2 linked regions of the Coturnix japonica genome follow. The protein of the gene in region 2 interacts with the protein of the main gene of each other region in a biochemical or structural test. Links are inferred from orthologs where the notes say so. Each region holds a gene or a part of one and is shown on either strand. Other genes may lie near its edges.

Evidence for each region. The genes of interacting proteins can lie anywhere in the genome.
Region 1: the proteins of SLC9A3R2 (region 2) and SLC26A3 form a complex in vitro, tested with the Homo sapiens proteins (2 studies listed by BioGRID and IntAct, with this or other methods). The link is inferred for Coturnix japonica from reciprocal best matches to the Homo sapiens genes NHERF2 and SLC26A3.

Annotation. Positions count from the first base shown.
Region 1 is NC_029516.1:13,315,478-13,319,721, forward strand, and holds the start of SLC26A3 (chloride anion exchanger), read right to left. Parts: upstream 2,806-4,244; 5' UTR 2,608-2,805; intron 1-2,607. UniProt on the Homo sapiens protein: Mediates chloride-bicarbonate exchange with a chloride bicarbonate stoichiometry of 2:1 in the intestinal epithelia. Plays a role in the chloride and bicarbonate homeostasis during sperm epididymal maturation and capacitation.
Region 2 is NC_029529.1:6,192,129-6,195,639, reverse strand, and holds part of SLC9A3R2 (Na(+)/H(+) exchange regulatory cofactor NHE-RF2), read right to left. Parts: intron 1,730-3,511; coding exon 1,472-1,729; intron 1-1,471.

The sequences.
Region 1 (4,244 bases), on a different chromosome or scaffold from region 2:
GTAGTCTGGACTGCTTCTCCACTGTTGACCCTGGGCACCCTGCTCTGGGTGTCCCTGCATGGGCCAGAGGGCCCTGCCAGCCTCAGCTGCCCTGTGCTTCTGCCTCATGCTCACAAACAGCTCTTACAGTGTCAGACCTAACTATTACCTTCTGCTTTGTTCCAGCCCACTTCGGTGTGTTTGTGCTCCAGTAATGACTCTGACTCCTACGTTGCACTTGCGGAGATGGGAGGTTGGTTGCAGTCAGTGGGCTCTGTCACTGTGCTGCCCACAGTGCTCAGTTATGTTTCCCTCAGTGCCTCACGTTCTTCCCATAATAAAGTCACCTAAAAACATTTAACTCCACCATAGTCACCATGAAATATTTAACGCAGTAGCAGTCCTAGGCAGGAGCAACAGGACTTGCTCTTGGCCATCTCATGACACTGACAGCAGAGCATTCCTGTTTTCTCTCCCCTAGGACAAAAGCTCCATCTTGCCTTGCTGCTTGCTGGTAGCCTCAAATGGGGCACCCTTTCCTCACCCAGGTGTGGTGACTAAACTGCACTGATGCAGCCTACGTGTACATCTACTTCTGTGGACACAATGTCTGGACGTGTCACAGGACTCACTCCAAGTAGCACAAGATGGTGTGTGTTGCTATGAGCAGGTGGAAAACTGTTTATCTTGTGACGATTTTTGCATTAAAATGTGAATCTCACCCTGCAGCTCACTGCTTTGCTTGAGCTCAGGGCTTGTTACTGTTCTACCACAGGAAAACTCAGTTTTAATTTCCTCTTAGTTAATTCTGGGGAAATTTGTGGATATCAAGAAGCCCAAATAATGTCTCATACGTGCTGTCTTCTGTGGATATGCTATTTTTCCTCATAAAGATTCCATATTTAGGCAATGAGTTTAACATGTTTCCCATCTGATCCTGCCTTTTAAGACTGGCCAGAGAAATCCCATCCTGACCCTACAGCTGTGTACTATCATCCTTCCCTCTGCTTGGTGCCAAAACCAGAGGCAGATGACACTGAAATGAAAAACTTGCTTCATTTTGTTCTTCCTCTGGTAAGCCTCAATGTATGTAGGTTTTCAGGAAGAAATTTAGGCAGTCAAAGACTGTAGGACTGCTCTGTTTCCCAGTCTGCATATCAGTCCTTCAGACCTCACATCGCAGAGAGGAACTTGCTGAATAGCTTTGTTCATTACATTGGAGGGTATAAGATGTACTATTTGGATCCTTTGAAATGCTTATGAGCCAGAAAAATAAGTGTGGGGGTTACTGCTTTGATTGTCACCCTGCCCTTTGCCCAGCCTCGATTCTTTCCTCACACTGGTTCTTCTGCCCCAAATATCCTTTGTTTCATCAATGCTTGTCCTGTTGAAGGTGTAAGTATTTTGCGTGTCTTTCTTTCTTTCCTGATAGAAACCCTAGTTCAATGACCCTCCTCCTGGCTTTGGCTGTTTAGCTGAGCTGTGCAAAAGGATTCCTGGATCATTGCCTGGAGGGTCTCATCAGAAGGATTTGTACATGGGTCTGCTCTGGAGATTGTCATGCCACATTGCATTCTCCATCCTGAATTTAGCCCAGCAAACCTGAGGGTACCCCAAGGCTGGGCAGTGCCTTTCACCTGTTAGTAGGCAGGGCAGGTGAGACCTTGGGCACCCACCTGCTGTGTTCTGTGCTCACTGCTGCTGGCTGCCCTCCAGCTTTTCTCATCTTGTTCTCTTTTTCCTTGGGCTGCCAAAGCTCTCAGCTACCCTAATTTCAGTCTGTATTGCTTTCCTCTTCCTTACTCTCATTTTCTTCACAGCTACGTTCAGAAAGGTAGGATACCCTTCGTAAGGGCAGCTTTACGGCTGACTGCACTATTATTTGAGATGTTTTTGGGAAATCCTGGATATACAAGTAGCAGTGTGGTGAAGGATCCCATCCTCTGCAAATCCCCTAAAGGAGAGATGTGTGCTCAGTGTCTCCCACTGCCTTTCTGGAGTGCTCTCATCGTTAAGCCCATGGACTTGCGTGGGAGATGCTAATCAGAGCAGTTCTGTGATGACTTGTGTAGTGTGCCCATCCAGCCATGGAGAGAAGGGGCACACACCAAGCTCACGCTGCACAGCTATCGGACTAGCAACTTTCACTCCCCTCTGACAGACTAGATCCAAATGCAAACCCATAAGTAAGGTTCTAGTTCAGCTGTATTCCACACAGCCTCCCACCCCGTGCTCACTGCTGGCATTACCATTTCTCACACTAAGTCCAGCTCCCCTGCTGAGCTCCTGCATTTGTGATCTAATGGAAATGCACGTTTTGATGTCATATTGCTGAGAAGTGCTTTCTCCCTTTTATTAATTTATCCTCAATATTGGCTAAGTAGCACACAAAAATCTGGTAACTTCAGCAGAACAATTAAATATTAACAATTTCCCCCCCTTTTTCAGTCTCTGTACACACACTTATAACATCTATTTCTCCACAATATAAACATTTGAAACATACGAACAAATTCCACAAGGGAACCTCTCACATCTTACAAGAAGTACACGATTTGGCTGGGAGCATTTTGTTTATAAGCATTACTTCATGTATCCCATATCCTGATTGGCAAGCCAAAATCTTACCTGATGTGTTTTCTATGAACCTCTTCAGAAGAAACCACACAGTAATTGTACAGAGGAAGATATCCTTGAATTGTTCAGAGGCAGCACAGGTATCTTGTGCTGCTCTTCATTTCAGAGCTTCCCTAAATACTGGCAGCACTTTAATAACTAACTTCGGTTAACTTTTACAAGAAAAGTAAGATTTCACTGTGGCCTTGACCATTGAGTCTACTCTCAGGAGGGATGATAAGAGTCATTTCTTAAAGTTCTCTGGGATATTGCTTAACTTTGTTTGGAGAACTGCTTCTGATTGGACTGCAGAGATTAATGTAGGAAAATAGAGATGAGTAAGAAGGACTCTGTTGCAATCCTCTGCTGTGCATCTGCCAGGGTTCTGTTGGGCATAGTGGGAGGTGCCGACCAGAGCCCAGAAGTCAGAGCTGCTTCATTTCTAAAGAACACAACCTGTGGTATGGAAATGGGGCTGCTGGCATGGCAGCTCTGGGCAAGGTGTGCCCTGTGAGCTCTACTCCCAGGTATCTCCAAGACTCTCATCATTGTCTCTCCAGGAACAATTGTGGAATGCTCAGATCATTTTGCAGAATAGTCTTGGCAGGGATTTCCAGAGGTGAGGACAGGGATTTCCAGGGGACAGCTTTGAGAGCTGTGGCAGCTGTGGCATCTTGTGACATGTGTGTGGTACAGGAGGGCTGAGCTGGGCTGCTCTGCAGGATCCTTCTCCCCTTTCACTGCCGACTGAGGAACTGAGGCCGCTGAGGCTGAGCAAGCACTCCTCTGAAATACCTAAAACCTCTTAAGGAGACGGAGGGCTGGAATAACATGCTGATGCCTCAGCATGCAACTCCAGCAGCAGGTACCTGATTTCAGGACATCACCAAACCCTGATGCTGATGCCTGTGCTGATGTGCTGAGCAAACCTTAGCATCAAAGTTTCCCGGTGAAAACAGTCCTCAGGTCATGCCATCACAAACCCTTCAGCCATTGATACCTAGAATACAGAGACAGCCATATAGTGCTCATCTCCTTAAGGCACTCCTCTGGTCTGGAGAACAGAGCCTGTTCTAGCCTTGTAGGCACAGATTTCCTCTCCTGGTGAAGAGAATGGTATGAGCAGGGCACCCCATGTGCTCCCAATGGATGTCCAGGCACACAGGGAGTAGCAGGAGGAGCCTGAGGTGCTGATCTCAGGGGGTTTGTACACATTTCAGTCAATGATTAAACCAAGAAATGATGGAGTGAGCAGAAGCTCAGCACACATCCCTGCAAGATGCAGGCTACATCTGCCTGTGCAATTCGGGCTTCTTCCACATGGCTCTGGGTTTCTGAAGGCTCTTTGAGGCCTCCAGCTTCTTCTGAAATTTGTGCTGCACTTTCAGCCAAGCCCATAAGCTTTTCCAGTTAGTAAAGATCCCAGGTCATTTCCTGGAGAGCAGACTTCCTTCTCTGTGACAGCACGCCCCTGCTCTTAATAGCTGCCATCATGGCTTAAGGTATTTGCTGCACTTTGTAAAGCTGACACAGAGATGATATTTGCCATTAAAACCACAAACATTTGAAAAGATGTAGAACAGCTCAAACCATAAAGTGATTAAACTGCTTTTGGCCTCTCTCCTTGCCAAAGTGCAGGTACAGTGTGG
Region 2 (3,511 bases):
AGTCATGGCTCCCATGGATGGAATCTATCTGGAACAGCTCTGTCCTGAGCTCTCCCCAAGGCAAAGCCCCTATGGGTCACTATGTCCTGTTTGGGACCTGCATTGGCTGGATACCAGCATGGGTTCTGGCACCACCAGCCTCAAATACAGCAGTTGCTCCATGCACTTACCCTCACCAACCCCACAGCCCCTCTGCAGGGGGGTTCAAGCACTCCCTCCCACTGCACCCCCCTGCCTTCTCAGTTCTCCCTGTCCCACCCTCTCCTTGGAGGAGCCGAAACCCAAAGGCCGGAAGGGACCAGCCCGTTCTCCGCGCCCAACTTCCCGTCAGCACAAACTGTTGGATTTCACCCAGCAAAAGGAACAGAGACAGGATAGGAAACCCCCAGCCTGGGAAGCCATGCACGGCTGTTTGCACTGCAGCCCCCCTCTCTCCAGTTTCTTTCTCCTGTCCCACCAGCCACCCTGGGAGGTTATGAGCAGCACAACACTGACCTCCATTGCCACCCAGAGCTCTCTGAACACCTTCATACCACAGCCCATCCTCCAGCACCCCCAGAAAGGGCAGCCCCCTGGACCAGCACAGCTCTGCCTGACACAAGCAACTCCATATGAGGGGGGGAGGGTCAGAGGCAGAACCCCATGCATAACTCTGCTTTCTGCCCTACACATTATCCCCATGCAGAAATTGCTTGAGCTGTTACCCCACAAGGGCTCCTGAGGACAACGAGTGCTAAAGCTGGATTTGGAAGCAGGGAAAGCCTTGCACAGCCTGGTTATAAGCAGCACCACGGGGCTGCAGGATTCACCCCCTCAGTGATTAAAGTGGGGACAGTCAGCTGCATGGTGGTGGCTGCCACGTTCACATCCCATGCATGGACAGTGCCGGGGCTGAGTGCTGCCTATCTGTGCGTGCAAGGCTGTGCCATCACCGCCCTCCCAGCAGAGAGCCAGCCATGGAAACTGGACATCTTCCACCTCAAATTCTTTCCTTGCTGAAAAGGAGTTTACCAATAAAAGGCGCTTACTGCAAAATCACAGCCCAGACTCAGACCACTTGAAAAAGAGCTTATTTCCTTCCTATTCCAGCAAAAGCTGAGAACACATTCAACCCAGCTGTTCCCTCCATCCTAGAAGTAACACAGAAGAAATGGACTGAGTTAAGGAGTCCAGCTCCACCACATCCACAGCCTGTGCTGCCTGTCCCCAAACAAGGGACAAGGACATCAGCCAGGGCAGCCTGGTTGTCCCCAGGGGGCTGGGTGCCCACCTCAGCTCTCTGTAGCTCCTCCAGGAGCAGCCAACACTGCTTCCAACAGAGCAAACAAGGCCTTGTGCAGCTCACCCACAGCTTTGGGACACACTGAGACGCCCAGAGCCACATACAGAAGGTTTGCTAACGGGAAGCACATTTGCAATGGGATGCATCCTGCTGTCCAACCCCACGCTGTGCCACCAGCTCTGCCCTCACCTTCCTGCTGCCGTGTGAGGAGAAGCTGTGTGAGTGCCGCTGCAGGCTGCCTGCGCTCAGCTCCAGCTGTGGTTTCCACACCTCCCCGTTGTCGCTGCCCACTGACTTGGAGGGTGAGATGTTGGAGCCCAGCAGGATCCCACTGTGTGCCATCTCCTCTGTGCATGTCAGGCGCAGGCTGCACAGGTACTCATCTGTCTCCTTGTCCACCACCAGCAGGCGGGTCTCTGTCTCCACTGCCTTGATACGCTGCACCACCTGCAAAGGAGAAGGAGAAGTAGTGAGCAGAAGCCCAGAGACTCCCCAGTTCTTGGAGAGCTGTATCTCCAGACCCCTCTGCCCATTGGTGCTCTCCTGCAGCTTCCATTTCACTGCACGGTGCACATTCATTACTGTTTCTATAGGCAACAGGGGAGGAGGGCAGAGATTTGGGATCCTTCAAGATAGCACAGCCTGCAGCCATGGGTGACAGTGACAATTCCTTCCAACACCACCTAAATGATGGATCTGCCCATGGCAGCTGCATACACACAGGTGGACATCATCCCCTCTGCTCCACTTGCAAGCCTGCTGTTCCATCACACAACACACATCCTGAATCCTGCTGCCTAGCTTCATCCCTCACAAGGGACATGCAGTTCTACCACATAAACAGCCCTGCAAACCCTCACCCCTTTACCTGAGACTTCTTTCTCCCCCCACACCCAGGGACAGAGCTGAGAACTCAAGGTGGAAAGCTGGGTTGCACCAAGAACCAGAGCACAAATGCAATGTCTCAACTGCCTTTGCTGCACTCTTCCCATTTGGACACTTTCCCCCCTCCCACCTCCCCCCTTCCCAAGCAGATTTATAAAAGCAACAATCTGATCCGTGCATTCATCCCCCTGCGTGACAGGACAGCAGAGATAAGGGAAACCAGCACCAGGAGATGAGCCCATCCCTGCTGGTCTCCAGCTCCAGGCATGGCTGAAAGGGACCATTGTCCTCACACAGCCTCACTTTTTCACGTTTTTTTGTGTGACTGCAGATCCTCTGAAAGGAGCTGGCGGTGTCAGCCCAGCAGGGAGGAAGGGGAGCACGGGGCAGCTCACACGTGGGAAAGTAGAGAGCTGTGCTCAGCTCTAGGGCAGTCAAGCAAGCACATGAGTCCAGCACAGCAGGGCAGGGTAGGAATAGGGAATAACTGTGGATATATGAGGGAAGAAGGCAGAAAAAGACTCCAGAACCCCCTGCCTGCAGCCTCAGGGTGGTATCCCACAGGGCATCACCTGCTGCCTGCACAGGCCCTCATTCCAAAGAGGAAGACAGTACCACTGGCAATGCAGCTCTACCACTCTCCCCAGCTGCAGGGGGACACTGCCAGCACTCATGGCCCTGTGACACCCTATGTGTGCTGGGGAAACCCTGAAGCAGCACAGGGTTCCTTACAGCTCCTGCCCTATCTAGGTCAGGCCAGCCAGATACTGCAACTGCCAAGGTTAGAAGTGACAAACGAGCCTAATGTGCAATTAGCCAGCGTTTATTTACTCCCCTGCAAGCTCCATTCAAGGTCAGCAGAGCCAGTATCTGCAAATGAAAAAAATAAAAAACCACCAAGACAAAATTTATAGATTGCAGACATGGCTGTGTGTGCCGAGCAAACCAACCCAGCAAGCACCAATGCCCACCACCCTGCACCAGGAGGGTTCCTACCCATAACCTGCCTGCAGGGTGCTGCTCCACCAAACCCTGGAAAACCCATCTGCTCCTTCTCAGATCCATTTCTGTGCAACACCAGGCGATGCCACTGACACTGTCAGAGCAGCACCTGTACCAGGGCACACCTCCAGAAGGGAACTGGGAACAGACAGCTGATGTGCAGGAACAGGGGTTGCAGGTGGGCAGCAATGTGGGGAAGCATGCAGGAAAAGCAATGGCAGAGTCCTGCACATCCCTCCCTCCTTCTCAGGCCCTACAGTTTGGGTCCCGCAGGCCCTATTGCAGCACAGTAGTTCTCACTACTGTCAAGGAGAAAAGTCACACAGATCCAACACAGCACCA